5 linked regions of the Daphnia pulex genome follow. The protein of the gene in region 3 binds, or shares a complex with, the protein of the main gene of each other region. Links are inferred from orthologs where the notes say so. Each region holds a gene or a part of one and is shown on either strand. Other genes may lie near its edges.

What was found.
Region 1: U4/U6.U5 tri-snRNP-associated protein 2-like (region 3) and U6 snRNA-associated Sm-like protein LSm8 share a complex: the UniProt entries of both Homo sapiens proteins name them as parts of the U4/U6-U5 tri-snRNP complex. The link is inferred for Daphnia pulex from reciprocal best matches to the Homo sapiens genes USP39 and LSM8.
Region 2: U4/U6.U5 tri-snRNP-associated protein 2-like (region 3) and U6 snRNA-associated Sm-like protein LSm7 share a complex: the UniProt entries of both Homo sapiens proteins name them as parts of the U4/U6-U5 tri-snRNP complex. The link is inferred for Daphnia pulex from reciprocal best matches to the Homo sapiens genes USP39 and LSM7.
Region 4: U4/U6.U5 tri-snRNP-associated protein 2-like (region 3) and U6 snRNA-associated Sm-like protein LSm4 share a complex: the UniProt entries of both Homo sapiens proteins name them as parts of the U4/U6-U5 tri-snRNP complex. The link is inferred for Daphnia pulex from reciprocal best matches to the Homo sapiens genes USP39 and LSM4.
Region 5: U4/U6.U5 tri-snRNP-associated protein 2-like (region 3) and thioredoxin-like protein 4A share a complex: the UniProt entries of both Homo sapiens proteins name them as parts of the U4/U6-U5 tri-snRNP complex. The link is inferred for Daphnia pulex from reciprocal best matches to the Homo sapiens genes USP39 and TXNL4A.

The regions. Positions count from the first base shown.
Region 1 is NC_060019.1:330,000-335,100, forward strand, and holds U6 snRNA-associated Sm-like protein LSm8, read left to right. Parts: upstream 1-2,478; 5' UTR 2,479-2,557; coding exon 2,558-2,588; intron 2,589-2,650; coding exon 2,651-2,691; intron 2,692-2,772; coding exon 2,773-2,900; exon of another isoform or gene 2,901-2,966; coding exon 2,967-3,057; 3' UTR 3,058-3,109; downstream 3,110-5,101. Other genes in the region: alpha-ketoglutarate-dependent dioxygenase alkB homolog 7, mitochondrial-like, read right to left, coding at 958-1,087, 1,166-1,290, 1,356-1,523, 1,600-1,884; zinc finger protein 277-like, read right to left, coding at 3,121-3,207, 3,275-3,359, 3,422-4,122, 4,198-4,363, 4,425-4,621; aminoacylase-1-like, read right to left, coding at 4,945-5,088. UniProt on the Homo sapiens protein: Plays a role in pre-mRNA splicing as component of the U4/U6-U5 tri-snRNP complex that is involved in spliceosome assembly, and as component of the precatalytic spliceosome (spliceosome B complex).
Region 2 is NC_060025.1:133,915-139,629, reverse strand, and holds U6 snRNA-associated Sm-like protein LSm7, read left to right. Parts: upstream 1-3,141; 5' UTR 3,142-3,231; coding exon 3,232-3,240; intron 3,241-3,475; coding exon 3,476-3,680; intron 3,681-3,757; coding exon 3,758-3,894; 3' UTR 3,895-4,261; downstream 4,262-5,715. Other genes in the region: XK-related protein 7-like, read left to right, coding at 736-1,112, 1,205-1,407, 1,490-1,723, 1,791-2,023, 2,093-2,329; myotubularin-related protein 10-B-like, read right to left, coding at 4,326-4,513, 4,582-5,715. UniProt on the Homo sapiens protein: Plays a role in pre-mRNA splicing as component of the U4/U6-U5 tri-snRNP complex that is involved in spliceosome assembly, and as component of the precatalytic spliceosome (spliceosome B complex).
Region 3 is NC_060025.1:1,777,885-1,784,880, forward strand, and holds U4/U6.U5 tri-snRNP-associated protein 2-like, read left to right. Parts: upstream 1-2,593; 5' UTR 2,594-2,724; coding exon 2,725-2,800; intron 2,801-2,880; coding exon 2,881-3,027; intron 3,028-3,087; coding exon 3,088-3,377; intron 3,378-3,434; coding exon 3,435-3,660; intron 3,661-3,728; coding exon 3,729-4,015; intron 4,016-4,083; coding exon 4,084-4,274; intron 4,275-4,334; coding exon 4,335-4,470; intron 4,471-4,534; coding exon 4,535-4,621; intron 4,622-4,682; coding exon 4,683-4,730; 3' UTR 4,731-4,787; downstream 4,788-6,996. Other genes in the region: uncharacterized protein LOC124202305, read right to left, coding at 43-94; uncharacterized protein LOC124202306, read right to left, coding at 509-555, 629-725, 794-910, 983-1,078, 1,144-1,291, 1,362-1,441, 1,516-1,646, 1,737-1,788; protein PRRC2C-like, read right to left, coding at 5,661-6,996.
Region 4 is NC_060026.1:5,480,863-5,487,494, forward strand, and holds U6 snRNA-associated Sm-like protein LSm4, read right to left. Parts: upstream 3,545-6,632; 5' UTR 3,400-3,544; coding exon 3,397-3,399; intron 3,331-3,396; coding exon 3,289-3,330; intron 3,230-3,288; coding exon 3,131-3,229; intron 3,016-3,130; coding exon 2,835-3,015; intron 1,987-2,834; coding exon 1,898-1,986; 3' UTR 1,716-1,897; downstream 1-1,715. UniProt on the Homo sapiens protein: Plays a role in pre-mRNA splicing as component of the U4/U6-U5 tri-snRNP complex that is involved in spliceosome assembly, and as component of the precatalytic spliceosome (spliceosome B complex).
Region 5 is NC_060018.1:1,945,804-1,951,006, forward strand, and holds thioredoxin-like protein 4A, read left to right. Parts: upstream 1-3,064; 5' UTR 3,065-3,196; coding exon 3,197-3,274; intron 3,275-3,331; coding exon 3,332-3,468; intron 3,469-3,532; coding exon 3,533-3,746; 3' UTR 3,747-3,811; downstream 3,812-5,203. Other genes in the region: polyprenol reductase-like, read right to left, coding at 1,371-1,463, 1,543-1,709, 1,767-1,889, 1,962-2,156, 2,223-2,371, 2,442-2,629; tyrosine-protein kinase CSK-like, read left to right, coding at 4,402-4,457, 4,538-4,757, 4,856-4,990, 5,059-5,195. UniProt on the Homo sapiens protein: Plays a role in pre-mRNA splicing as component of the U5 snRNP and U4/U6-U5 tri-snRNP complexes that are involved in spliceosome assembly, and as component of the precatalytic spliceosome (spliceosome B complex).

The sequences.
Region 1 (5,101 bases), on a different chromosome or scaffold from region 3:
GCGGTGGAAATCAGAGAAGCGTTAATGATCTGGTTTTGTGTGACACATGTTGTGTGGGTCTCTCTTCATCAAAATAATTTTTAAAAGGGAATGAACGCCACCCAAGAATAGCCGCGACCAAATCTAATAAATCTTGTAACCAATTATTTGATATTTCTTAAAGTCGATATCACATTCCTCGACAAAATCCGGATTTGGGTTTCACATTGACAAAACAAGAAGAAGTTTCTTTTTTTTTTCTCCCATCATCTTGTATATATGTACACGTCTGTGCCCGGCGGGACGAACCCGCAAGCCGCACCTCAACGTGCCAGGCGAAACAAGAAGACGAGGGGAGGATATCATTCACCGTCAAAGAAGCTCAGCAGCAGCAGCAACAGCAGCGAGATAGGCAACACAAGGAGAGAGAGAGCCACCAAAAGAACTCTTGTTAGGTTATACAACATTGTCTCAAAACAAGATAAGAACCCCCCACTACCACCCGAAGAAAAACGAACACGATAATCAAAAAAGGGAGAAAGCGGAATGATTGCGTCTCAAGGTTCACGCCCGCTTTCAACATCCCTCTTGAGCTGAAACTCGTCGGAGGGTCTCAATGCAACAACTTAAAGTTCCGCTATAGAAAAACAAAGGGAAGAAAAAATAAAACGTGTCTGTCATTTCACATTTTCTGCGGAGGCGTAAAAGAGTCTTATCAGTGTCGGGTGACGAGGATGGATTCGGGATAGCATCATCCATCATATTCTCTTCCACCGGAATTTTTCTTTATTATTCTCTTTCGAATATAAAATCGATTGCTGCCAATCACGTCACGCCCACTACATGTTTCCCGAGCTTGGCCTTTTTTAAAAACTTAAGTGACTTAAATGGCTATTGTATGGATCAACGATAAGTACAAATAAGGACTGTCTACTTGGGCATATCTACCAAATCGTGTTTACAACAGTACTGCATCCATTATGATGATGGCGGTGGTGGACTACGGCAGATTACAGAGATACGCCTAGTTTTCGTGACTTTCTCTCCCCGGAAGAAGGATTCGCTATTGTTCAGAATTTCGTGATTAAATTCGTATCTAGCAAAGTCCCTGCAATAACAAAGAGAGAGACAGAAATTTAGATAGAGTTATATATCACGATGGGCTCTATTTTGCATAGATAATTACTTCATTATATACAATGATCTTCTCGGTAATAGTGCCGTGACCAAGACTTGGGGTCGCTGTATATGTATGAGCCTCATCACACTGGCTGTGAGCAGAGATATGCCCGATATGGTGGGGCCACAAAACTATGTTTAGAGAAATATACGAATAGATTAGAATGATAATTTCCAAACGCTGTCATCTATCATACCTTTATGCTGTCCAGATGTGGTTTGATGTGACCATTCTCAGCTAAATCAAGCACATGGACATGCTGCATCGTGGTAGTTGAAAAGGCAAAAGCTCTCAACCGATTTATAACACAGTCATTGACTTGATTCCAAGTAGGTTTCTCTGTTTCCCTGTATCCGTGGATAGCCTTTTGGGTTTCGAATAACAAATGGTGGTCATTCAACAGTCAGACAACCTACGTGAACACGAAATTTCAGACTTACATCATCCCAATGGTCATACTGATACCGGGACCTTTTGAACTTCACCTCCAACTCTTCCAATAGGTTATTCTCTTCTTCAGCACTGATGAAATCTTTGTAGACTTGAAAGTCTTTCTCAAGCATTTGCCTCGTCGCTTCATCGCAGTCGGGAGAGAATTCTAAATTTGGAGAGATCCCGCGGGTCTCTGCGGGAGTTGAGCATGTGCTTCTTGAATGGGAACAAGTAGCACTTAAAGGAATTGCGCGCTTCAAAACTGCACGAATATTGACCAGATAAAGCACCATATCTCGATGCTAAAATATTCAACCATTAAAAGTCGGACATCAAAATATTTCAAATCGGCAATTTTCTGCAAAGAGCAGACGACGTTTGCGTGTGTGTACGTGACATGCCATATTTCGTTTTGATTGCAATCAAATGTAAAAAATGATGTCATTAAAAATGACAGACGGTACTTTATTTAATGGACATGTATATTTAAAATAAATAGATTTAACAAAATTGGGCTGGGGTTAGTCACGCTAATATATTATTTCGTTTAATGTTAATACCTCAAAACCGACCAAATAAAGAATTATACCGCATAATGGAAATGTAGGGCCTATCTGATTTTCAAATTTATTTGATGGCCAAAGAAAACGATTCATCAAAACTCTAGCCTGCTGAGTTCTTCTCCTCACCAACCATTTGATTAACGTCTCGGGAAAATAGCCTCAGGCACCCCTTCTCGATTTCTTTAGTCTTTTTCAAATAACCAATTTCCATACATAAACAAAAATTATATTACTCTATCGAAATCATTAATCACTGAAACATAAGTTTACTACAGTTTGTATGAATTAAATCTGAATAGAATGAATGAAAATACTTTGTTGATATTAAAGTAAAATAAACGGCAACGCTGTATTGCAGACGATTTTTACAAGCCAAATACAAAGTGAAGCGAGTGAAGAAATCATGGCATCAACGTTAGATTCTTACGTTAATCGTGAGTTTTAATTATTATATTGTTTATTATTCACTGAAAAATTGTATCTTTCTTGTTCGCAGGTTCCGTATGTGTTATCACGAGTGATGGGAGGAATTTTATTGTAAGTTGTAACGCCCGATCACAAGGCATCATCCTCACTCAATAAACCGTTTGAAATAATTTCAATGTATTCTTTTTACAGGGTATTCTTAAAGGATTCGATCAGACTATCAACCTTATCATTGACGACAGTCATGAGAGAGTGTTTAGTTCTACCCAGGGAGTTGAACAAGTCCAACTGGGACTGCACATCATCAGAGGAGACAATGTGTATGTTTCATCCACTTATTAGCTGTAAAATAACTCAATCATAACTATTTCTTGTTGTAATTTCAGAGTTTTAATTGGGGAAATTGATAATGAACTTGATTCCAGACTCAATTTATCAGAAATAAGAGCAGAACCACTAGCTCAAATCCACCATTAAAGTTTGCATTATTCCATCATGATCACTTGAAATACAATCTTTTTTACAGCTTTGTAGAATCATTCATTTTTTTACAATTAGCTCTAGTTTAAGCAGTTCTTCTTCAACTACTTTAAGGTTTATGATGGTGTCTTCAGGGATCACTGTTACCTAATTAAATGAAAAATCATGAAAACAAGTTTTTACATTAATAAAAATCAGACTTAATATAATTTACTTGGTCGGTTTCAGTAGAATCATCTGGAATGGTATCTTCTAGCAAACAAAGAAGAGCATCATTTTCATAGGTTGGAAAGTAGTACCTAAAAGTTTATCCAATAAAATAGGATCCACAAATAGAAAATTTTGAATGTATCCGGCTTACTGTGACTGATCCCAAACTGCCCGATCGGGAAGTTTAAAGTGACTGAAGTTTTGCATGTGCTCTCTCAGTTTATCCCGGGATTCAAACTGCTCATCGCAAAGTATGCATTTCTTTTCATGCACTTGTCTCCTGACGTAGTTGACAATCTTAATTTGCTGATAGATACTAAAGCTCTTTTTCAGGCCCAGAAAATCAAAGTTACTGTGAGATGCAATATGTTGGGATAAAACATCTGGTGCACTTGATTGAAAATCACAGAATAAGCAAATAGCTTCAGTCTCTGGCTCAAACCAGTCAGACCAATCTTCATTTTGGCAGTATTCATCAAATTCATCCATTATTTCCTTCCATGATTTTCCAGGCTCAAGGTAGTTCACCAAGTAAAATTTATCATATTCCTTATTGTGTGGGTTGATTTTCTTGTGGATTTTCTTTCTCATGTGCTCCTTCAACACAGTCCTATCCTTGAATGTTTTCTCGCAGTATAGGCAGATGTTCTGGGCTAACTTTTCATCTAGCAAATTTAAGAATTCTTCAACAAATACAATGTTGTCTGGAAGCCCAACACTAAAGTTATGATCAAAGTTCATGTGATCAAACAGGACTTTACGGTTTCCTGTGAAAATTTTACGACAGAAGAGACAAGAATGTGAGAACTCTTCATCTTTTCTTTCTTTCTGTTGTTGTTTTAAAACAAGGTTCTGTAAACAAAAATGTCAAAACAGTCAATAATAACCTAAAAGTAGGCCAAGCAACAAATGAATTATTCCACTAACCAATTTCTCTTTTTGCAGTTTCTCTCGCAGATTTTGATCTTCTGGGAGTTCATGTGCCAACATGAAATATTCCTCCTTTTCACCTTTTTCATTTTCTGCTTCCATGACAAAGCAATAGGCTTTAGGATCACATTCCCTAAACTTTGGTCTCCAGTAATCCACATATCTGATTTAAAAAGGGAAAATTACAAGTCAAAATTGGCAGTAATAAAACAGCAAATAAAAACCTTTTAAGATCAACAATTTCCTTGACGTCGGCAACAACCAATTTGTGAGTGAGTAAGAAGTGAGCAAGGATTTGATCATTTGACGACTTCAAATCAAACATTTCTGAGCAAAACAGACATTCACATAGAGTTGAAACAACCGACTCTTCTTGGACTTGTTTGTCGGGGAATGTCAGAGGCTCTAGAATAGGATTCATTTTTGCAGAAAACCAATTGACACTGCGTTATAATCATTAGTTTGCCCTCTTGCCAACACTTTTGTAAACCGACGTCTTGACTAAAAACCCACATTACTCGTCTGCTTCTATTATGAAACTCGGACGCCATCTACCGCAAAGAAAATTCTTTATATTCATTTTGTGTGTGTGTACAAAAACGCGCATTCTTTTCTGAGTGTGTATAACAATAATAAAGAAAACCCGGAAAATATCTAATAAATGTGTTGACTACCAAGTCAAAAAGACTAGACTCTTGATAACCAAATAATCGTACCTATGGTCCCATACCAAATAAATCAAAGTTAAGCATTTCCCAAGGACGGAATTATTGCTTCATAAATCGGAATGCCTCGAAGAAACACGCTTTCTTCAATAAATTCGTTATGGTCGTGCAATAAAATAGGTGTGAGGTTAATGGGAGAAAATCCAAGCGCAGGTAGACCAATCTTAAAAGAAAAG
Region 2 (5,715 bases), about 1.6 Mb from region 3:
CAATATATTACTTTTAAATTTTTCACCTGAATGAACAGTCCAGCACCAGCAGTTGCTTCCAAATTTACATTTTTTGGCCCACATAATGGGCATGTCAGTTTTCAAAACGTTGTTTGTTGACAATAAGTTGTCGCCATTCCTCGCCAGGGGATGCTAGTCACTAAACATCGACTATCGTTCGCAACCAATCGATCGATTCAAATCCAATTGATTTGCAGGACAAAAAATTCAAAAAACGACAACAACAAAAATTATTCCTTTTTGATAGAATAAAAATATACTACACAGTTAATGAACGTGATATTAAGTAAACGTATTTAATGAATAAAAGGAGAAGGAGAATTGCGAAAGAAAGGCATTCGTATCTGTTTGTTAAAGGCAATTGATAGTTCTTATCTGTTTGTTAAACTGTTGCACAAGTGATGAAATTCCAAAGGAGCCCTACATTATGTGACGCCCCGTATTCTGCTATTTATCTAATCACAATGTGTTCCTTGAATTTCATTAGTGTATCGGCTTTGCTTCTGGCCAAACTACCTTATTATAGTCTTAGTTTTCTTTTGCATCTGTCTGGATACGTTAGCTGGTATGTGTATAGTGTTGTACAACCGTAGTGGCAATACCGTTTAATTGCCATTTGATCCAGCGCAACACGACCTGCCCACTCATAACCCTTTCGTCGCGTTGCTGTGTGCAAGAGAAACGGTCGTGAGGACTTGTGTTGACAACAGAAAAATGGGAGTTGTTAAAAAAAGAAAACACTCAACTTCCCCCACCGTGGAACCGAGTCAAGAAGATTCAAAGAAGTTTGAAGATCGCTGCAGAGACAATCTTAAAATTGCCAACTTGAATTGGTTGATCTGCTCAAACTGCCTTTCATTAATTTTTTACGTCTGTCACATTGGTTGGAATGTTAATTGGCTGATTTTCAAGCAAGAAAAAGATTGGTGGTACTTGGGGTTTTGGTTAACTTCCGCGGTTATTGTGACTGTTAGAAGTTTCCTGTTTTACAATGACAACAAAACCTGTGGCCCCCGTGATCGTTTGCCAGAGGAATCCCATGTGGCTAGGTGGAGCAAGTGGGTCCTCGGTTTGGTCTGTCCTATTCCGAGGTAGTATAATATGTTCCAAAAAGAATTTTCAATTTGACTTAATTGTAAGTTGATGCAACGTTATTTTGGGGTTGAAAATCTCTCTCGTACAGGTATTGGGATTTAATTAAATATGCCCGCCTAGCGAAACAAGCCATTGAAAATGACGACGCCTCCAAGAACATTTATTTTAGCGCTATGATTTGGGAAGATGCCGAGTTACTACAACTGCGCCAATTTGACAGTTTCATGGAATCTGCGCCTCAATTATTGCTCAAACTTTACATCGCCCTAAAAGGAGGATCCCATTTTGGAGGTTTTTACTTATTCTTATATTATAATTACAGCTGTTACCATTGAAAAAATGATTGAAAATGATCCATCTTGTATTTTAATAGTTTTTTCGGTGATTTTCAAAATCTTCACTGTCGTCAGCTTGGCATGGACATTGGTCTCGTACGATCAAAAAATCTGTTTAATGGACGGTGTGAAGAAAAGTGGCAATTCGAACCAACGCAACCGATCAAACGGCATCACCATAGACTACAACAATGATGCAGCAATTAATTGTATTAAAGACGTAAACTGGACAAATAGCGCCATTCTATGTTTAGCTAATTTCTTGTGGATAGGTAAATTACTTAAATTACTTCATTTTTATCAATAGAAAACCTTTTTAAATTACTTTTTTAACGTTAGTTGGCCGACTCATGGCCTTAAGTTTGTTCGCATCGGCTTACGGCTGGATTATTTGGCCCGTCTGCCTTGCCCACTTGATCCCAATTTTCATTTGGCATTTGGAAACAAATTACAATTTCATGGACTCGTTGAGATTGTCATTTCTCCACCTTTTCGCTTATTTGTACCCCACAAAAAAGGCAGGAGAAAAGGAGCCCACACACCCTCGATTCTCACCTGCCATGTATCAGTCGGTGAGTTAACAATTCTTGATTTAAAAAATTTATGCATTTAACTATATTATCGATTTGATGGGGTCATAGGTCTGCTTGTGCGAGAATGTGATCCTTATGATCCTGTGGATGGAAAGTTTGAGCAAAGGCGATGATTGGGATATAATAAGGCTTTACTGGATCATTCAGTTTGTGACGACTCTTACCAGTTTCGCATTGTTTTGGTGGGTTAAAGAAATCAACAAAATGCTGCGGGAACGCGACACTAGCCCAACTCAAACAGAAAACCAGCCGACATCAGAAACAGCCTTAACCTTATCGCCATAAATTGTTGATTTTCTAACATGGCCATAACCTTATTTGCTCCTGTTTAATTGTCACGTTAAGAGTGATCTTGACTTTAATACAGAATCACACCTCTATCTGCCACCTCTGCTGTAACTTGTAAGCTGACAGTATGAAAGTCTCTATCTAATGACATGTAACATTTTTCTCTTACAGTTTTTAACCTTAAGGAATGGTAGATCATTTGATTGACACTTACCCCAAGACAAAGTGATTGGCTGGACTCAATTGGATTCCATTATTCAAAAGTGGCAGCTGGCAGGATCAGACTCAACGATACAGCAGAGCAGGCTACTATCCAGGATCAGTTCAATTTTAACCTGAAGAAAAAAGATTTCCCATTTAAAAAACTCGTTTACTGTTCGGTGTAGATAGACAGAAAATTTGAAATATCAAAAGAATCGTTCTTTTCAGATTGTCAGGCCGCGACGACTAAGATGAGTGGAGGGAATCGTGATAGGAATCTATCAAATATCGTATTGTTCTTTTTGTTGTTGGCATTCAATAAATTGACCAGCTCCTCATGAACACCAATACAGTGTCGGAATAGTATCAAGTAATCTGATTTCGTCTTATAGAATTCAAATCAAGCAGAGTTACATCGAAACTTGACTCATCATATTGCCTGCAAATGTGGGACCGTTGCCAGTCCATCTCCGGTCCAAACTGATGAGGCTTTCAATAAATCCACAGTAAAAAAAAACGCCATCTAAAATATTCAATGAATGGAAAAATAATTATAAAGAAAAGATTTGAAAAAAAGAGTGGTTAAAATATTCATTGAAATCAATATTTGGCACCGGTGCTGCGCTATTCCGATTTTGATTTTTACAACATTGCAGACGACTCTATTGTTTTCTGTACACCAAACCCAAACGGCAAAAATGGCAGCCGTAAGTATTTAATTTACTAAATGAATTAGTGGTCTATAATCCCAAGACATGAAATGACAAGCACTGAATATATTTAAGCTATGAATAATGTCTGAAAAACATTGATCTGCCTGTCGTAAATTGGGTACAATTAATAGCAATGCGTCACGTCACTCATGGCTTTTATTGGCTACTGCTTTAGAATTACATCATTCTGGGTTTTGCTAATAACGTTATTCATTTCCTTTCTTTTTAGCAAAAGGTCGATAAATCCACACCGGCAACAGGTAGCCCAGCAGATTTAAAGGAGAAGAAGAAGGAAAGAATCTTGGACTTGTCCCGTTACATGGACAAGTTGATCAGAGTCAAGTTTACCGGAGGCAGAGAGGCAGCTGGTATACTTAAAGGTTACGATCCTCTACTCAACATTGTCCTGGACAACACGGTAGAATATCTAAGAGGTAAGACTTGAGAACTACCACAAATTGTATGTGAAACAAGATTGACTTAAAATTCCTGTTATGTCTTGTATTTCTAGATTCGGAAGATTCATTCAAGTTGTCAGAAGACACCAGACAGTTGGGCTTGGTGGTTTGTCGTGGAACAGCTGTTGTTCTCATCTGCCCTGCTGACGGTATGGAAGCCATTGCCAACCCTTTCATTCAACCAGAATAATTGATTTTTTTTTTCTAAATTGAACCAATGATCATTTGTCTGTGTGTTGTTTCCCAATTTTCCAATAATAAAAGAACGAGAAAAAGGTGAAATAGTATAATAATATTATTAAAATCCTTCAAAAAAACGGATAGGTAAAAGAACACGGATCGACAATGATAATAATACGATGATTTGAATAAATGATTCAATTTTTATGCAATTATATAGCAGTAATGCAAAACAGAATTATATTTTTAGAAGGCGATTAGAAAAGAGCCTACGAAGGTCGAATTCATATTTATGTACTTTTAAGTGTAGGAAAATTGGAGAGGCACCGTCTCATCTTTCTGTGTGAATGTCACAACATTCGGCCGTCAAACGAACTGGACAACGTGAAATGAATCGAGAGGAAAATTCTAAAGGCAATGATAATAACTGATGTTCAAATCTCAATCGGTGACAAAAGAGTCGGAATCGAATTCAGCTTCGACGGCCCGACTTCCAGTCGAACGGAGTGTGGAGCCGGAAATGACGGGCGAAGGAACAATTTCCCACTCGCCGAATGACAAGGCAGAATCGTTTTGTTGCTGGACGAACGGGTGGAAGCTGCTCAGCGTCACCTGACTTCCAGGTTGGCCTGAATAAGAAATCAAAATTAAGAAAAAACAAACAAACAATTGAAAGTGAGTCGACAGCGGTTGATACCCGGTGAATGGTCGCTCATGGTGACGAAACGTTGACTTGGCGACGAAGAAATGTCCGCCTCGCCATTGTTACTCAAGTCGTGCTGCAACTGGCACTGGTGCAATTTGTCCAGCTGCGATTCTAGACTGAGAATGTCGTTGACCAAGGCGCAGTGATGGAAATAGACGGGCGGATGTCCACCACCGCGGACGTCGAGAACCGGAATCCACCGCAAGTAGCACTGACTCCACAGACGGAAGTCGACGAAGGAATCGGCCACCGGGAGCATCGAATAAACGGGCCAGTCCAGTTCGTGGTAGGGAATGTCTCCTCCGTCAGGCCCTGGATCCTTGCCCGGCTTGAATTCCTCCCACTCCTTACCCAGGTCCAGCTTCAACGGTTTACTGTTGGGTTCCAGTTTGATGGGGTAACTGGGAATCGGATCGTAAACGGCCGCTCCGTAGACTGTCCACCTCTGCTGAGTTTGCGGATGATTTCCCAGGTCGACGATGCCCCTGGACGCTCTGTAAGTGACGGCCGACGAATCGTGGTGACTGCTGGACATGAGCGGCATTTCCATCCCTTCCTCGATGGATGAGATCTGCTGTTGGTGAGGAGAGAAAGAGCGGCCGTGACTGTGGAAAAGAGCCCCGCGGATTCGCTTCCAGCGGCTACTTCCGCTTCCTCCGCCTTCGCTGTTACCACCGCCGCCGGCCCGACTCAGAGTTCCCACGGAATTTCCGCCGTGGTGTTCGGGTAAGGCGGCCAAACCGAATCGGCTGCCCCAACTGCGGCCCAGCGTGTCCGTTTTCTTGTTCTCGGCCGCCCCGTACTCGGTGGCTCTCAGAGCGGAAATGCTTCCGGAAATGCTGTTGCGTCTGGGTCGAGTGCCGCCTCCGCCACCACCGTCGTTGTGCGAGGCCAATCCAGGGATCCAGCGCGGGACCAGGTTGTTGACATTGTGGTAATTGGCCGCCGGAATTCCTTTGCGCTGTCGATAAGCTGCGACTCGACAGGTGATGCTGAAAAGCGGATTGAGAAAAAGGCCAATGTCGACATCGTGGAACTGAGACGACCAGTCCCAGACGGACCGTGAAATCAAAGCGACTGGGCATCCATCTCCTCCGCCTTCCTGCGGCTGCGGTGACTGGGTCA
Region 3 (6,996 bases):
TTGCATGCATAGGAATTCGTTTCAATATCAATAAAAACATACCGTGCGAATGTACGACGAGGCAAAGCAATGCGAGAACATATACTACTTTCATGGTGTAGGAAGAAAATCTCACTTTCTTGATGAAAGAAGACCAAGGCAATAACTACAAGAAACTGTTCAAAAACTGCGTACCAACAATAAATAGTCCATCAGCTAATCATGTCTATCAATCGAATCGAAAACGTACCAAACGGCCGGTTAGTGATAATAATGCAATAGACTGTTTTCGTAAGATTAAAATCGTGACGACAAACTAGACCAATATTTTTAAAAAGTATGCAGTGACGTTAAAGAGAAAACAAATAAGACTACACTACTATTGTAATTGAAATCCATATCGGGTGTTTGTGAATACAAATTTCGATTTCCCTGTATTTATTCACTACATACTAGCTAGGGAATGTTTCTTTTTTTTGTCTGGCTGTATTTCTTTAGCTTATCCACCGTAAATTGCGCTGGCAGTTTCTTAAATAAGGCTGGCGATTGTCGTTGGTGGGTTTCTTAGCGAGTCGACTAAAAAGGAAAAATTGTTGTGAACATTGATTAGAGGCGGTAATAAAGTCATTCCTATCGAACTTGGACCTACTGTAAGCTTGAAGTACAACGTTGATAAGGTTCGTAAGAGGACCTTCTATGAGCTCCTTGAAAAAGGGCTTCAGTAGGTTAAGGGCAAAATCGACAATCTATAAAGGCATTCAAAAATTATCAAACCAAATTGAGAATGCAGAACATGTTAAAGCTTCTCTTTTACGATTTCGGCGAGCCAATTAAAAATTCCCAAGCCTTGTATATCTGTGCTGATATGACCAATTTTCTTTAAATCAAAAACGTCGACAACAACAATTCCGGAGAGAATATCGATAGTAGACTGTAGAAATGAAAAGATGGTTAGTTAATTAGTTACTATGTGAATTGTTATTTAACGTAGAGAAAAGCAAACATGGAAGTAGAAGTTGATGTAATCGGCAGTTCCGGTCATCGAAGCGGTTGGTCCGATATCCATAAAAAGAATGCTAATGGCATAACCAAAAGCTCCCTATAAAGTTTTGCAAAACCGTTAATTTTTATTTCTGTTACGAGCGGGAAATAAATGAAACCTACATTGTTGATGCCGCAATCAGATTCAAAGAAAATGACAGTGTCAGTGTTGCTAAGAGTAGCGTCCCCAACACGGTGAATTGTTTCCAAACCAGTAGCCAAGCCATCGTGCAAAAAGACACCGCCATTTACGCCGGGGTAAGCATCCCATCTATTTAGGAAATTTCAGAAAATTCATATTTACTAAAAATAAAGTTGATTGTCAATTTTTCCCGTCATACGTAAAGCTAAAATCGCCATCTGGAAGCTGAATACGGTCGTATCCTAGCAGGACTATCTGCTCGCGAACTAAAGCCAAAACCTAAAATATAAAATGTTTTTAAAAAGACAAAATTCAGTAAATCAAAGAACGAAATTGAATTATATTACAAATACCTCGTCCATGTATTCATTGGCATTTCCTGCTTCCCCACTTCGAGCACGATTCATCAAATGTTCAGAGGCCGGAAAGGAAAGACGAAGAAGCGGCTCGCCTTTTCCAGAAACGGGGCGTCGAATTCCAGCACCTACCAAAAGTAATGACAAAATTAAAAATTATGGTCGTTAGAAATTTAGAATCAACCCAATCAAGGAACGAGTAACAAATATGAGCAAACCATTGGAAAGGGTAAAAAGGCAGAGCAAAGCGAAAATGCCAACCACTTTCATGACGAACGAACACAATTTCAGTTTAAAGTTAAAGAAAGAAACCGTGTCCTTTTGAGAAACAGAAAATGCAAACTGCACACGACCAATTTATACAAAAATTATTGGTCTATCAATGATTGGGCAATCGATCACTTCTTGATTAGAAAGTGATATAAATGGGTTTTTCAAAGATTATGATTGTGACATCGAACTTGATTTGACTAATCTGATAATCCGTATTGCGTGCTAAAATCAAAGGGCAAACAAAATTACCCAATGATTATATTTTTGTACACCTTCGAAGGACGAACTTATACAAAAAAAAACATTCTATTGAAAATGAATTACGAAATTCTAATTCACCAATTGCTTAGTTGATTTTTAGAAACCCGGAAATTGCTTGTTTCCGGGTTTATGGTTCAAGTAAGCAATTTGTATCCAGGCAGAAAAAATCTACACTATGCTGAACATCATTATCTGAACCATGAATATCGCTTTCAAAATATAGACTTCTGTTGACATAAGTTAATCAAGGTAAACAGAGTTCTGATAATACATCCAAACAAATTCGAGACAAACTCTAAACTTTGAGATGATTACACAACACCCAAGACCCAACAGCGTTACCAGACACAAAATAAGGGTTTTTTAGTTAGTTATCAGGATAGTAATTCAAACGATAAAAAATAGTAGCCCCATCTTGTACAAATAATTATTTACTTGACGCATGACCATGATAATCAAACGAAATTTTGAATCGCGTTACAAGATTTGAATGAAGTAGTTCACGCCATCTACAGGACAATAATTCTACTTTTTCGTTTACCGGCATTAACGCGTTGCATTCGTTTTATGTGTCTGCTATCCTTTCCGTAACTCTGCATTCGAGTTTCCTTAATTCTTAAACAATAAGAAAAGCTGTCAATTTTGGCTCTTGGGGTAAATATCTTTTCAAAAATGGGGACGGAAAAGAGTGATATAAAGCGCAAACATGAAGATTTCGATGATGAAGACGAACCCGTCGTGAAAACAAGTATTGTTGTCACTATCCACAAAACCAAATAATAAATATAGTGCAATCCGTGTAACAACTTTTACTGATAAAAATTCTAGGAGAACCAATTGCCAAATCTCGTTTGTGTCCTTATTTGGACACAATAAACAGGACAGTTTTGGATTTTGATTTTGAAAAACTCTGTTCAGTCTCGCTCACAAGGATTAATGTCTATGCATGTTTGGTGTGTGGGAAATACTTTCAAGGTAAATTTGAAGTTAAACAGCAATATTCACATATTTTAAATTGTTTCAAATGAATTCTAGGAAGAGGCCCCAGCACACATGCATATCTTCACAGTGTGGGAGAGGGACATCATGTTTTTTTGAACCTTCACACCCTAAGATTCTATTGTCTGCCAGACAACTATGAAATCATTGATTCATCACTCGATGATATCAAATATGTCTTGAATCCAACATTCAAAAAAGCAAATATTGCAGTGTTGGATGTCATTGATAAAGTATCTAGGTCTTGTGATGGTACTCTTTACCGTCCTGGAGTAGTTGGACTCAATAACATCAAAGCTAATGATTACTGCAATGTAGTCCTACAGGTAATGAAGTAGTAAACTATAAATTAAAATAATAAACTTTACTTACTTTTGTATTAGGCTTTATCTCATGTTGTTCCACTACGCGATTACTTTCTCAGGGAAGAGAACTACATTGGTATCAAGCGTCCTCCTGGAGACAATAACGTCATCTTAGTTCAGCGTTTTGGTGAATTGATTCGTAAGCTTTGGAATCCACGCAACTTTAAGGCTCACGTTTCCCCCCACGAGATGCTCCAGGCTGTCGTTCTGTGCAGTAAAAAGAAATTCCAAATTACAAGCCAGGGTAATATTAAATTATGAGAATTGTTATTAAAATTTTACCTTGCTAATTCTTCATTTTCCATATTTCAGGTGATCCAGTGGAATTTCTTTCGTGGTTTTTAAACGCGTTGCATCTGGCATTAAACGGTACCAAGAAGCCAACTTCTTCAATCATCTACAAATCTTTTTTGGGAGCAATGAAAATTCATTCTCAGCGAATCCCACCCATCGATGCCACTGATACAGAAAAGGATGCACTGATGTTGACTGCCGAATACGTCGAAACATTTGTCGATTCGCCTTTCCTTTTTCTGGCAGCCGACTTGCCTCCCCCTCCTCTGTTCAAAGATGAATTTCGCGAAAACATCATTCCACAGGTTTGCCAAAATCAATTAGCTTGTAGCATTAATTAAAAGCTAGATCGAGTCTTTTGTTGATTTTTCAGGTATCTCTGTTTGCATTGCTGTCTCAATTCAATGGAGTCCAGCAAAAGGAATACAAGACCTACAAGGAAAATTTTTTGAAGAGATTCGAATTGACAAAACTGCCACGTTACATTATTCTCAACATCAAGAGATTCACGAAGAACACGTTTTTCATAGAAAAGAATCCCACCATCATAAACTTCCCCATCAGGTAAATAAAATTACCACACCATTTTTTGTTGACTGTTACAAAATTGAGATGTGCTTTTAGGGGTGTGGATTTTGGCGATATTCTAGGTGCAGATGTTCGCGCCAAACACGGATGTACCACATACGATCTGTTAGCCAATATTGTACATGATGGAGAACCAACCAAGGGAACTTATCGTGTTCACATACTTCATAAGGTAAATTCGTTTTATTGTTGACCAATAATCACAATAAACTTCACGAGTCAATTGCTTCTATTAGGCGACAGGAAAATGGTTTGAAATGCAAGATCTGCACGTGACAGAAATTCTTCCGCAGATGATCACTCTCACAGAAGCTTACATTCAGGTAGAAAAAAAAATACAATAAAACGTTATTATGTCCCATTTAAAATGTTCAAACATTTTAGATATGGGAACAATCTACGGAAAGAAGCGACGTTGAAATGTCCAACTGAAATTTCTGTCAAAAGTGTAAAACCCGAGTTGAAATAAATATTCAAATTCGTACTAAAGCATTAATGTGAGACTTCTTATTGGATTGAATAAAATTAACACACCACGTCGCGAGGAAAACGAACCATGTTTGATTACACAAGATGCAATAATACACAACTTATTTCGTTTTTTTTTGTTTCATTTATCTTGCTCCAAACGATGTTGTGTGGCAAAACAGGGAAAAAGGAGTGATTTGTTTAATTAAGAGAGAAGAAGTGGGTTTGAGAATGCAGAGCAAAATAAAGAAATCTTGAAACAAACACGTAAGAGACAACCCCCAAAGAGGACAGAAGGGATGAAAAAATAAAGGGTCGTAGTGAAAAATTAGATTCACACCGCGCAATCAAATTGTCCTTCATGAATTCCGCTCGTTTGCTACTCTTTTTCCCTTACATACACTCGCACAAAGTTTCTTCAAAAATCAGACCAGCATTCGATCGAATTCAAATAGCTTATTTTTTTGCGGTGAGCAGCGGTGGGGTGATTTTTATTTTATGCTACAAAAAATTGGAAAACGGCCAAAAGTTGGAAGGACGAAAAAAAATTAGGAGAAACAATTGGTGGGCCTTTTTTTTTAGCTTTGTCGCGAATAAACGAGGTGTGTGTGCGGGAACAAGAAAAAAGTGATCAGTCGGGGAAAAAGTACAAAGGATCAAAGAAGGAAAAAGGGGAGTTTAGGGCGGCAGCTGCAGGGCTAGCAGAAGACGACAAATGTCCGGTACAAAAGGACAAGTTATCTTCTTACGCTCTTTAATTTTTTCCCCGTGCGTCAGCTTTGCAAAAAGAAAGTCTGTGTGAAATCTTCCACTCAGGAAACCGAGTCCTTCAAACGAAAAACTTGCACAGCACTTTTTTTTAAGTTTTTTTTTTCTTTTACTATCTCCTCAAATTCACTTGGCGGCGGAAGCGACAGAACCGTCGGCTTTAGCACTGCTGTCCTTGTTGCTTGATTCACTCGAACCAGGCTTCGTAGAAGCATCTGACGCGTTATTACCTCCTTTCCGTTGAGGCTTATCATCGGCCGAAGACGTTGCCGCGCTGGCCGAAGTGGTTGCCGTAGTCGGAGTAGTCGAAGCGTTGCTGCTACTAGCTGGAGTCGATTTGTCGTGTTGCTGATTTGCCGTCATCGCATAACTATTTGATGCGTTGCTCTTCATCTGAGATGGATGACCAGGTGCCGAACCCGAGCCGGGAATTCGAGCCGGATGAGGGTTGGGGGCTCTAGGTCGGGCTCCCAAGCCACCTACAGGGGCTCCGGGAGGGCCACTAGAATGCATGGGCGGTGGAGGATGTTGCTGCATGTTGCCTGTAGGAGCAGTCGGTCGCTGAATTGGTGTCGGATACCGAGGAGCATTGTTGCCCGTGCTTCCGCCGGAACTCATCATGTTATTGGAGTTGTTCCCTGATGTTTGCTGAGGCGGTGGAGCGCTTCGGACGGAAACGTAAGATGTTCGAATCGAGGGAGGGCCAGGGTAAGCACCACTCGAATGTGAGCTGCCCGGAAACTTGTTCATCGGATGAATTTGCTGCTGCTGCTGCTGCTGCTGCTGTTGTTGCTGCTGCTGTTGTTGCTGCTGATTGGCTGCTTGTTGTTGCTGAACCTTGTTCCTCGATTTGGGAGAGGTTCCGGAACCACCCTGTTGCTGCTGAACCATGTCTATTTTCTCTCCTCCACTCTGACTACTTCCAATGTTGTCCAGTTGTCCGGACATGTACTGGGCTGGAGATGGAGCGGCTCCAGCAGGAGATGGACTCGGACCAGACGGTGAATGAGTAGGTTTAACAAATTGTAGACCGCCTAGTGGTCCTGTCGGAGGTACTTGGTTCGTACACATCGGACCAGGGCCGTTTCGTGGCGGATAACGTGCAGCCATGTTTAGATTGTATTGCTGCTGCTGCTGTTGCGACGGCATCTGTTGTTGTTGTTGCTGCTGCTGTTGTTGCTGTTGTTGTTGTTGCTGCTGCTGTTGAGCAGCCCGATTGGCGTATCCTTGCAGGCCAGCTTGAGATGCAAACCCTGGGAGCGAAAACGGGCCAGGGGCGGCTGGAGGACCTTGTCCCATTTGTTGGAGACTAGGGCCACCAGGTTGCTGTCCATAATAACCTGCGTTCTGGTTGCTCTGACCGGCACCTCCCGAATAGAACGAAGACGGCGGCGGCTGAATTGCTTGAACTTGTGGCGGAGGAGCTGTTCGCTGCTGCGACAGAAGCTGCGATTGCGACAAG
Region 4 (6,632 bases), on a different chromosome or scaffold from region 3:
GAATTTGAGAAGTAGGAAAGACGAAAAGCTCGAAAAAAAGAAAGCATCGTAGTAAATCTATTGACTGGGCGTCAAAAGTCGGAACTTTTTTTCATTTTTTACAAGGGAGGCCTATTTTTCCCTCTCTCCTATTTGTAACGTTCTCTTCCCCTTCGCATCTGTTTCCCCCTCACTAAACCAGCAGACCCCCAGACAGCAGCAGCAGCTTCAAGCCCTTCGTTTCCCCATCGTTTCATTTCGTTTCTATTTTCCAACTGAAATCCCCTCGCACTGGAATAGGCCTTTTTTCATAGGGGCTTATAGCTTTTTCACCCTTCCGTACGACTTAGAAAAAGGCGCTTCTACGAAAATTCCTTGAAGCTATTCACTAAACTTTTTTTCTCCATTCAATAAAAGGTCTTTAGCGAAGGATTTCGACTAACGCTCTATTCACGAGTTTCTAGTGTCATGATTTTGTCCCCATATCAAGTCAGAAGAGAGGATGTTGCCCTTTACTAGAGGGTATCGCCGGGTATCGCCTAGTGGAAGAACGCAACTTGACTATGCCTCGGAAAAACAACATTTAATTTATTATCGAGGCCCTTTGCTTGAATGGCGCTTTTGAATGTTATGCGTCGATTTAATTTATAGTAACTGGTTCCTTTTTTGGTGTAATTCAAGGTTAATGATTAACACTTTTCACCCCTACTCGAGTCTGACAACGTCGCATATAAATACTCTCCTTCAAGGTGAACATAATAAATAGGCCTTGAATAGATGGTATAGTAGAAGAAAATGACTTTATTGTGAGATCAATTAACTGTTCTATATTAGCCATTCTTTTCGTCAGGGAGTTTCCTGTGGGTTTAGGACTGGCAAAGTTAAAATGTGTTTGGCCCTTAAAACAAGAGTCAATTGCTGGTTCGGTTCAAGGTAGGGAGGGACAAGAAAGAGAGAGTGAGGGAGGAAAGAAAGAAAATGTCGAAAACGAAGAGAGATGAAAGCCCAAGTTGGGCTTGGCTGCGCGAACAGCAGGGGCTGCGCTGGCTGGCTCCGGGCATCTCGTTGCTGTTGTATCCGTGCATAGGCACAGGAGAGAAATGGAGATTGGAGAACTAATTGCATCTCCTGGGTTTTCTCGTGTGTCTATCACCCCGTAGATTCCTTAGCAGCAAGAGATCTCTCTTCCATCGGTTATCTATTGTTATATATTTTTTTTCTTCTCCGGATACGCAAGGCGAATTTACTATTGCAAACGTCTGACAAATAATTAAGAACTAAATCGTAATTACGAGCTAATTGTATTTTACGTTCGAATGCAACTGAGCGAGAAAATGGAAGATGTATTATGGTGTCGCTCTAAAATTAGTGGTATGGCTTTTGCTTTTGTACTGAATTTGGTGAGCATTCAAGTTCAAAGTATCTATAACGCAGAAAGTATCTATAACAAACGAAAAACTTTCATGCTTCAAAATATGTATACACATTTGACATTTATTAAGCGCGCCGAACTTTCTGCAAAAACAAAACATTTGTTTTCATTCGTTATTAAAAATGGGCATCTGAATCTTCTGTGCTAACAACGATTTTCGCTGTCGCTTTGCCAGTTGGCAACGAACGATCCGACACATCCACTCTTACTACGCCGCACCTACTGACTTATGAAATATGCAGCAAAACAGCTGAAGGTGCAGCGTGTTATTACAAGTCCACAAGGGCTTCTTCTCTTCTAAATATTTCAGTTTCTTGGTGTATTTCAGCCTAAAGGTTTTATGGGCTTATTTTAAGCATGTAAAATTAATGTGAAGAGAAAGAATGAGATAAGTGCTTCCATCTTTTTATCAAAACAGAAAGCGTCTCGAATAAATCAAGACTTGGCCATATTTTTATTTTCATACATTCATTCTGACAAGTTTATTTACTTTCCACGGGGTTTATTATTGCCACCACCACCACCACCACCTCGTCCCGACGGCGCGCCTCGACCTCTTGAAGCACCAAAAGAACCTGATGGTCAACACAAGAATAATTTTATATCATATCAATAGGAATATGCATGCTCCATATTATACGTCAACGAAGCCTATATGTTTTAAAATAAAAATATTAAATAATAAAATTAAAATAATCCCATCGATTCAATCAATCATTAACTATTAATTTGAGTTTGACGCACATTCGTGTAGCTGCGATAAGCTAACGCTTAGTAAAAGGAAATAATGTAAGTTATAATAATGTACACGACTGAGAAACATTACCTAGGTAGTACTATACTTCATTAAACTGTAAACTTTTTTTGGAAGGTTAAAATAAAATATAAAAAAACGTGAAAAGATTAAATAATTAATTTTATAAATTCCTATTTTTAATTAATATTAAAATTAATTTATTATCAGTATTCAAGTAAGAGACGCGGCATGTACCTCTTGAAATAATAATCAATAAAAAACAAATTATAAACCTCTACATAGTAGATAGATTTCATTTTTAAACCATAAGAGCAGGCATTCCTGAATGTGCAGATAGGATGTTTAGCTATTCATTCGTCAAATGACACGAAACGACGTAATTTAAAAATAAAGCTACGATATACTGAACATGATTCTAGAATAATGAGATTAACAAGAAGTCAAACATACATTAGTTATTGTACAATCATTTGAGCATTAAGTGATTGTACTATATTTATCCCATTGGACCATTATCAGAAAATTTTGTATAATACTGTTATAACTTGGTACTTGTTCAATAATATTCATGACTAAAACAATATTAAGACTACGAATAAAATTGTTTTGTATACCCCATTAACTTAATTGATAATGAGTGAGAAAATTTTGGCATTTAAAACATACCTCTACTACCACCTCTGCCTCCTCTTTGGGCTCCACCTCTTCCTTTACCATCACTGCGACCACGACCTTTTGCAACTACTTCTTCCTTAACCATATCAATGACTTCATCTGGAATTCGAAGATATTTGATGGTACTGCCTCTAATGTAACACTCAGGCATTCTCCAAAATCTGTCACCATCCTAAAGAAATTGTATTTTTGTTCATTAAATATTATATGTAAAACCTTATGATCGTATTCAAGAATATCACTGACAGATACAGATGACGGAACTATCTTAAATGAAAGTACTTTACCTTGGAGGTGCAAATTACTTCTCGTAGATTGATGTTCATCCAGTTATCACAACTCACCAAGTGGCCATTGTAAGTCTCCCCATTTTTCAATTCCACTAACTGTAAATATTGAAACACTAGTTTTATTGCTGTAAATAACAAAAGTAAAAAATGCTTACCATGGGATGATTCTGGGCTGTACGTAGTAGCGACAAAGGTAACTAGATAAATAAATAATTAAATTAATCTTCGATGATTCGGTATGAAGCACAAAACTCAATAGTTACCATAATTGATTTAATATTATTGTTCTCGATATGTTCCAATTAATAATTAAGAAAAAGGTTTCTCCTAGGTTTTAAGTGGTTGGAAAATGGAAATCAAAGATCAAAGATTTATGAAGCAGAAACACCATCTATCGTGCGATCGGCCAATCCTTTACACCGCGCCACAGCGGGTGTGTTGGGAAATGTTATAAAATAGGCGGCTGTGTTCGGAACGGTTCCGAATGGACAAGATCAATCAGGACCAATAATCCATTAACGTATAAACCCGTAAAAACGTAACGTAAAATAAACCATTAACACTGCGCTGATCCTGAACGTTATTCGCGATACATCAGTAACACGTATTGTATTGACTATTGACGCAGCCGAATAGATCTTATTGCAATTCAAAAGTACGCGACATAGCCAAAAGTCGTGCGAAGCTTACGCCAATGCGTACCACTGTGGCGTATAGCCGAACTAGAAATTATTTTATGCTTGACTAATCCTATACTCCCTCCTATACGACAGAGGATAATTATAGAACTTGAATTAACCTTAATTAATTTAATCTAGTTACCAATTGATCTCATCTGGACGTGGAGCAAAATCAACGGACCAACGGTGAGGCTTAAAGATAACAATCAGGCTCGAGCTTTCTGGGATTGATCCACATCGCCAATTGGGCCTATGATCTTGGCTTACCCTCGCTGCTTGAATGTTTGAGGCGAAGGTTATAAAAGCTATTCCAACTGGTCGTTTGATAGCCTAAATGAATGGCAAAGTAGTGGTTACTAGATCACTATTCACTACGACATTAAATTATTTTAAAAAATATACCTTCAGTTTTTCTTGATCAATAAGTGACGCAAGTTGCCTTTCTTCGCTCGTGTAATATATACCCCCTATACGACGGAATTTCCGTCGTATAGGAGGGAGTATGGCAGGGAAATCATCTTTATTGCTCTGAGGTGTGTAAAATAATGTACTCTAGACCTAGATCAAGTATTGGTGGCACCAATGGTGAGAAACGGAAACGTACACTTAGTGTACAGAACAATAGCCAGAATTCTCTGACCGACATGTCGAGAGAAGACATGATAATATACTAATAAAGGATTTAAAAGAGGAAAGAGAGACGCTCATTCAAGAGAAAGAGTGCATTATCAGTCATACTAAAGAGATAGAAAGTGAGCTAACCAGCATCAAGGTTAAAATTGCAAATAGGTTCTTGAATGGGTTATTCGGTGATGGGCAGCCGACTAAGGAGAATGAGCCACCTAGTGGAATGGACTCGCAGCTAGGTAAATCCTATGCGGCAGTGGCCTCGAAGTCGGTCACCATCATTGCTAAGCTAGATCCGGATGTGGACACGAGCAATTTTATCGGTGATGCTATGGATGAGTTCTTTAAAAGTAATTCGGAGTATCTGACGCTGCAGTCTTTCACTAAGAGAGACAATATAGCTCGGTTTAAGTTTAATAACGACGCTGATGCCAAAAAGGCTAAACAGTTAATGGAAGCGGATGGAAAAATAGAGGCGTCCTTAAAATCTGTTTCAGAACGCAAAATAGAGTACCCGATAGCAGTCTTCGGGACTGGGATAGAGAATCTAGAGGTTCTTAAAAAAGAGATGGAGTTTAGAAATGAAATATTACGTGGTAAAATTAATAGAATCAAACCGCTCTCGAATTAGAAAGGACACGTCAAAGATTTATGGCACATTCAAAAAGTGTGAAGAAGCAGTAATCCAAGCTAGGAAAATATCAGTTAAAAATGCCGCAGGTGAGTTAAAAGAGAATAGAGTAGAAAAAGCTAAACTGGATTTTGAGGTGACGTATTGTTACAAATGTAAAAAACTGGGCCATGTCACGTTTAAATGCACAAACAAATCGGCAGCAGAAATCTGTGACCGGTTCGCAGAGTCGCACAAAACACAAGACTGCATCCATCCAGACAACAAGATGAAATGCGTGAATTGCAAAGGTGCACACAAATCGGGTGACTTTCAATGTTCAGCGCACATTAAGGTGGTGGATAGACTGAGACAACTCTTAGCCTAAAGTATGAATCACAATAACAAATCACTTTCATGTTTACAGATTAATCTGCAGCACTGTAAAGTAGCATCCTTAAACCTGAGTCAAGTTTGAGTAGAGCTAGATATTGACATAGCGTTAATTCAAGAACCTTACGCCATAACCAATAAATTTAATAATGAGTTACTTATACCAAATATTCCTAGTAATTATACGGTTCATCATAACTTAAATAAAGAACATGCTTTTGGTGCAATAATTCTGGCTACAAAATTTCTTATGGCTGTAAATATAGCAGTGCAAAACCTAAATAATTGTGTAGGAGTCCATTTAAACAAATACCCTGGTCTAAACTTTTTCTCTGTATATTGCCGACCGTCTCTGAGTCTAGATTATTTTTTGAATCTTATAAAGACTGGTCCTGACTTAGAGCGGTCTGTATAATAGGCATGGATTCTAACGCAAAAAATAAGTTATGGAATAGTAAGTCTACGGATAAAAGAGGTGAGTGTCTGGAATCATTTACTGACCAAAACAAGTTAAATATAGCAAACGTTCCTGTTTCCAAATTAGAATACATTCCCCAGATAACAGCGATGGTGGACGTCACTCTCAGAGGTGATAATACCAATATTTCAAATTGGCATTTTCCCAACGAGAACAGTCACTCTGATCATCCGATCATTCTGTTTCAAGTGGCTGTGAAACAACCAAAGCGTAGTACAGTAAGTAAAATAGTGCCAAGAGTAAAAAACATAGATAAAATGAAATGTCTTGCTAAGTTGGAAATTAAAGTTAAAAAAAATAGAAGATCAATTACCACTAATTAGTTCTAGAACAACATGGCCTCTCCGACTTAAGACAATAAGGCTGTGTCTGAAACTTTTTCATGTAACAGACAAAGCCATGTCTTAAATTTTCCTTCTTTTTATTGCATTGCCTCCTTATATTTGTTATACATTTATTTTATCCCTTTTCAATTCACAGCATAAAATTTTCCAAACGTTAATATTCCCTTTCATAATTTTCTAAAATTTTGCTGTTTCAATGGTATGGGTTACATAAAAAATTTCAGACACAGCCTTATCTTAAGTCGCAGAGCATATGTTGAGGGTTGTATATTTTGAGAATTTTTTTCTTTTTAACTTAGCATTTCTTTAAAAAACTTAAACCTTAGCGTAAAGCAATTATCAAGTTTACTTCAAATCTAAGAATCTT
Region 5 (5,203 bases), on a different chromosome or scaffold from region 3:
TCTTCCGTCATGGACAAAGGTACGCATTGGCTAGGATCTATTACGTGCTCTGTAAAAAAAAATGTATTGCATTAATGAAAATATAACAGTTAATAAAGCATTTCAATCTTTACCTTAAGTAACAAGCTCACTGAAAGTTTCATGATAAAAAACCGTAAAAATGGAAATCACAGCAACCAACAGCCTTACTCCTCAGGTTTAGGTAAATTTCCTGATGCTAAAGAAAGTGTCATTATGAAGTATTGCAGTAGCGTGGTGATAGGTTATATTGATGCTTACCTTTATCATATGGGTGAATGGTGATGAATTTAGTGTGGCATTTGACGTGGTGTGGTTGGTAGCAGTAATGGGGAATTACCTTGTCTCCGCACATTTGTATTCCACGATATGTGAGCTTCACACATGAGTTTTAGGCTTTTGACAACATGATGGGTCTATTGGAGGGAAAGTGACTGAGCGCTAAGTCAACTTTTTGGAATGACTGACAGTATGCAGCTAAAATTTGAAGAAATAAGTTGGTACAGCATAAAAATAAGAAAATTAGGTCAAGATGAACCTACATATGATACGAAGTTCAATTTGGTATATGAAATCACAGGAATATAAGTATTAATAAGCATCCAATTGTTTCGCCCATTTTGCCTCGTTTCACGATGTAACAAAAACAAAGGCGACACTAGCGACATCTGGTAATGAGTTTTGAAGTTGGTTGCACAGTCGCAGCTCAAATTATCGGAGTTCTACTGTCGAGCACTGGAGTTCTATTGTCGGGTATTTTTAATAATATTGAAACCAACTAAGGATTCAAAACTTCTTTAACTATGACAAAATGTTCAGCTTAACGACTAATTTTGAAAGCGATTAAAACAAACTTGTGATAACCAGATCCGAGATGGTGAGATCGACCTGACTAGTCTACAGAATCTCTATGTTTAACAAATCACGCCACCTTCTTACCTTTATTGATGCACCGGTTTCGGTAGACTGTCTTTTTACGTAGATTTTTTATGCAGAAAGAAGAATCAGAAAGCAAGAACATGATAAAGATAAGTTGTCTGGGATTTGAGTTATAGACTTTCTTTATCGTCACCGGCTACAAAATTCGACCGGGCTGATGAAAAATCACAAATGGACCGTGTGGTAGGGAACGTACTGGCGCGCTATCAGAGACCAGGTTGCGATCTTTTCGGAATCGACATGCCGTGTAATTAAAAGCAGCCAATATTCGCTCAATTGTACCTTGACTCTGGAATTGCCTTATTATTACAACAATCACTACGGTACTTAATTAACATTTTTTTTAATCATAGGAAAAAAAATGCATTATGCCTTAAAGGAATTGTAATTTTTGACGTCGTTTTCCAAAGTAATCAGTAAATGAAAGGAATAATTGCTTTTCTTGTTTTAGGAAATTCCTTGAATTTGGATTTATACCAATTATGGGTCATGGTAGCAGTCATGATCTGCAAGTATGAAAAGATAAAAATTAACCAGATTTACATGGTTAAGCAACAATTTCTGAGAAAATTTTATCAAACATACCTGGTTTGTTAAAACCCAAAATGTTATCAGTGCCCAGGGATAATGATTAAAGCCCAGTATAATGTATAGAGAGACATAAATAATGATTTCACAGAGAAAATTTGGACAGGAGACATAGTTAAAAAGTCCGTTTTGAGGAAGACTATGTTTTTGCTTATTTTTTGGATCTAAAAATAAATGAAACTTTCACTGAATTATAAGTTTGAATCAAAAAAATTCTTTACCTTTCCTTAAATTTGCTAAGGATACATGTGCAATATATTGATGATAGTAGGCAAGAGTAAACAAAATTATGCCAAAAATGGGTTGTAAAGGGATATCATTGCTATTTGGTATCCATACAAAATCTAGATTGTTCAACAATAAATTAAAGAAAAGATTATCATGTAATGGGAAAATATTGTGTTGGTAACACCTACCATTTGTACTGGAATAGTCAGCTGAGTATGAAAGTATGACAGTGGCACACCCCCAATAATGTAGATAGCCAACTAAATAATGGCCAAGGTTCATTTTTGAATCAGCAAAAACAGTGACACACAAACATTCATACAACCTCCTGGATGTTTGCAGGAAAAAAAGTACAGCAGCTAATAGTGATAACTCAGGGCTAGCTTTATAAATAGACAATATTTTAACAATACAGAATGAATAAAATTTTGTTAAAATTGTTCAGTTACCTAAAGGATTGTGAGTGTATGGTGATACAAAACTAATGTATGAGGTTACAAGCGTAGATAATTGATTCTTCAACACAATCTTCCACATCATTGTTATGAGAACCAGGAATGTATAGAATACTCCAAACACATAAAAGTGTGTAAACCAACTTAATTTAGCAGATTAAAATAAATTTTTAATTTTAATTGTAAAGGAATCAGCAGTAGTAACTTTAATACCTCTTCGGAATAAGGATAGTTCTGATTGAACTGCCAAATACCTTACCTTCACAACTTTTCCCATAAGAGTAGAGATCAATTATAATCTTTGGTATCCACTTAGTATCAACAACAAACACAAGAATACCAAGAATGGAACTCATGCTCAACAAAATAAAGATGGTAATAACAATGCTTATTGTGATCATGGCCGGTGTTGAGACTATTGGCTATCTTGAAGGAATGGCTGAGTTATTAATTCGTTTAGATTGAAAGCATAGTCGGTTTTCAACAGGTTATGTAAAAAGAGATTTGATTTTACGTAAAAGCACAACTGGTTTTTCGGGTTTCTGAAGGCGACCCCGTGCCATGAAGTCTGAACGAAAAATTGAAAACAAATGATAAGAGGAAGGGGGCCAGGGGGGGAATTCGAAAGTATTGCCACTTGCCAGATCTTAAGAATAATCCCTTATTAGAAATAAATTTTATTTTACTTTTAAAATGTTTTATTAGTAAAACTTTAAATATTTTATAGTTAACTATACACATTTTTATACTGTTAAATATGTTTATATTCCTTGGGAGTTGGGAATGAATTTGTAAAGAAAGTGGATGAAAATTTCACACACAGATGTCGTGTTACTCGTGAAGTTGACAGACGCATTATTTACCTTTTTCGGGTTTCTGAAAGGAAAGGTTTGAAAACGTGAAGCGAGATCTATTTCTAAGCACTGTTCAGCTTTTTCTTTTTTCACGACCTTTATCAATCAAACAATATGTCTTACATGTTACAGCATCTTGTTAATGGTTGGCAAGTAGATCAAGCAATTCTTTCAGAAGAGGACCGTTTAGTGGTAAATCAAACTTTCTCTAGTTAATATTACTATCAATTTAAACATGCTTTACTACAGGTTATTCGTTTTGGTCATGATTGGGACCCAACTTGCATGAAAATGGATGAAGTGCTTTATCAAATTGCAGAGAAAGTCAAGAACTTTGCTGTCATCTATTTAGTGGATATCACCCAAGTTCCTGACTTCAATAAGATGTAATTTCATATTTACATTGTATGAATGAATCCCAATAATGATTTTCACTGTTTTTCTATATAGGTACGAGTTGTATGATCCTTGCACAAACATGTTTTTCTTCCGTAACAAACACATTATGATAGATTTAGGCACTGGTAACAACAATAAAATCAACTGGGCAATAGAAGATAAACAAGAAATGATTGACATTGTGGAAACAGTCTATCGTGGAGCCAGAAAAGGTCGAGGTTTGGTTGTTTCACCGAAAGATTATTCTACCAAATATCGCTATTAACTGTGTTGTTCAATTAAATGACACTGGATTAAAAACTAATAAATGATGACACTTTTGAATCCCCATTTTCATAAATTGTTTGTCTCATAAATTGACCATCAAGTAAACACATCGTACAACAATCGTTACAACAATTACATTATATTACTTACGGTTAGGTTTCCGAACAGTGATTTAACTTACCATGAAAATTTATTTCAATTATTTTATATTTTACGTATACCGTACGTAGTTATTAGCAGGTAACGAATACTTCCCAAAAAGAACTCGAGATAGAGTGACATGTCCATTTAGTTTAAACTTAAGCCACTAGGTGCTCGACACTATGGCGGCAGTCTGTTTCCTGCCTGTTTCTTGTTTCGCCCCGTCAGATTAAATGAATGTAACCGTTTCAATAGCTCGGTTAGAACAATGTGTCATATACCCCTAAGTGAAGACATCAAAACTTTTTACTTATGAATGTGCTGATCCCCATGAAAGTACCATAAAGTGAAGAGGATAACAGGTGTTTACAGCCGGTGGCCGTCCAACAACGAACTTGTACTTATTGAACTCCGTGTGCACCACTGTATATTTTTGTTGCCTTTGAGGTGTGTCTGAAACGGTTTTATCTTCCTTTAAAGGTATAAGTGTGAAATTGAACTACTCTTAGTGAATGCCTTCAAACAACGAAATGAACAAGAAACTAGAAGTAAAACTTCATGCAATGCCGTAAGTGTCACAGCCTTTCCCATTACCATCATTCAATATCATGCTGTTGATCATTAACTATGCTTGTTTTTCTTTTTCAGCTGGTTCCATGGGAAAATTTCAAGGGAACAAGCAGAAAACCTGCTACAACCAAGAGAAGATGGTCTTTTCTTGGTTCGTGAGTCTACCAATTATCCTGGAGACTACACTCTCTGTGTCAGTTATCAAGGGGAGGTTCAACATTACAGAGTCATATACAAAGATAACAAACTGACCATTGATGAAGAGGAGTTCTTTTCTACCTTGGCAGAGCTTGTTGAAGTAAGCTCTATTCTGCTTTTATTAATTAAAACTAGGAAGTTTTAGGTTTATGACTATCTGAATGGCTAATATTGATTTTTCTTTTGAACAATATTTAGCATTATGAAAAGGATGCAGATGGACTTTGTACCCGTCTTGAGAGGAGTGTTGCTAAACAGGGCAAAACGGACTTCTGTGTTGATCGAAAGGACTTTGAGGAAGCAGGCTGGATCATTCAAGAAAAAGATCTCCAAGTAAAAGAAGAAAAAAACACCTCAAACATTAGCCAGTTTTCACTAAATTAGTTTTCCCCTTTAAATAGCTTAAGGAGTCAATAGGGAAAGGAGAATTTGGTGATGTGATGCTAGGTTCTTTTAAAGGAGAAAAAGTAGCTGTTAAAATATTGAAAGATTCAAGCAAAGCAGCACAAAAATTTCTTGCTGAAGCATCAGTAATGACGTAAGTAG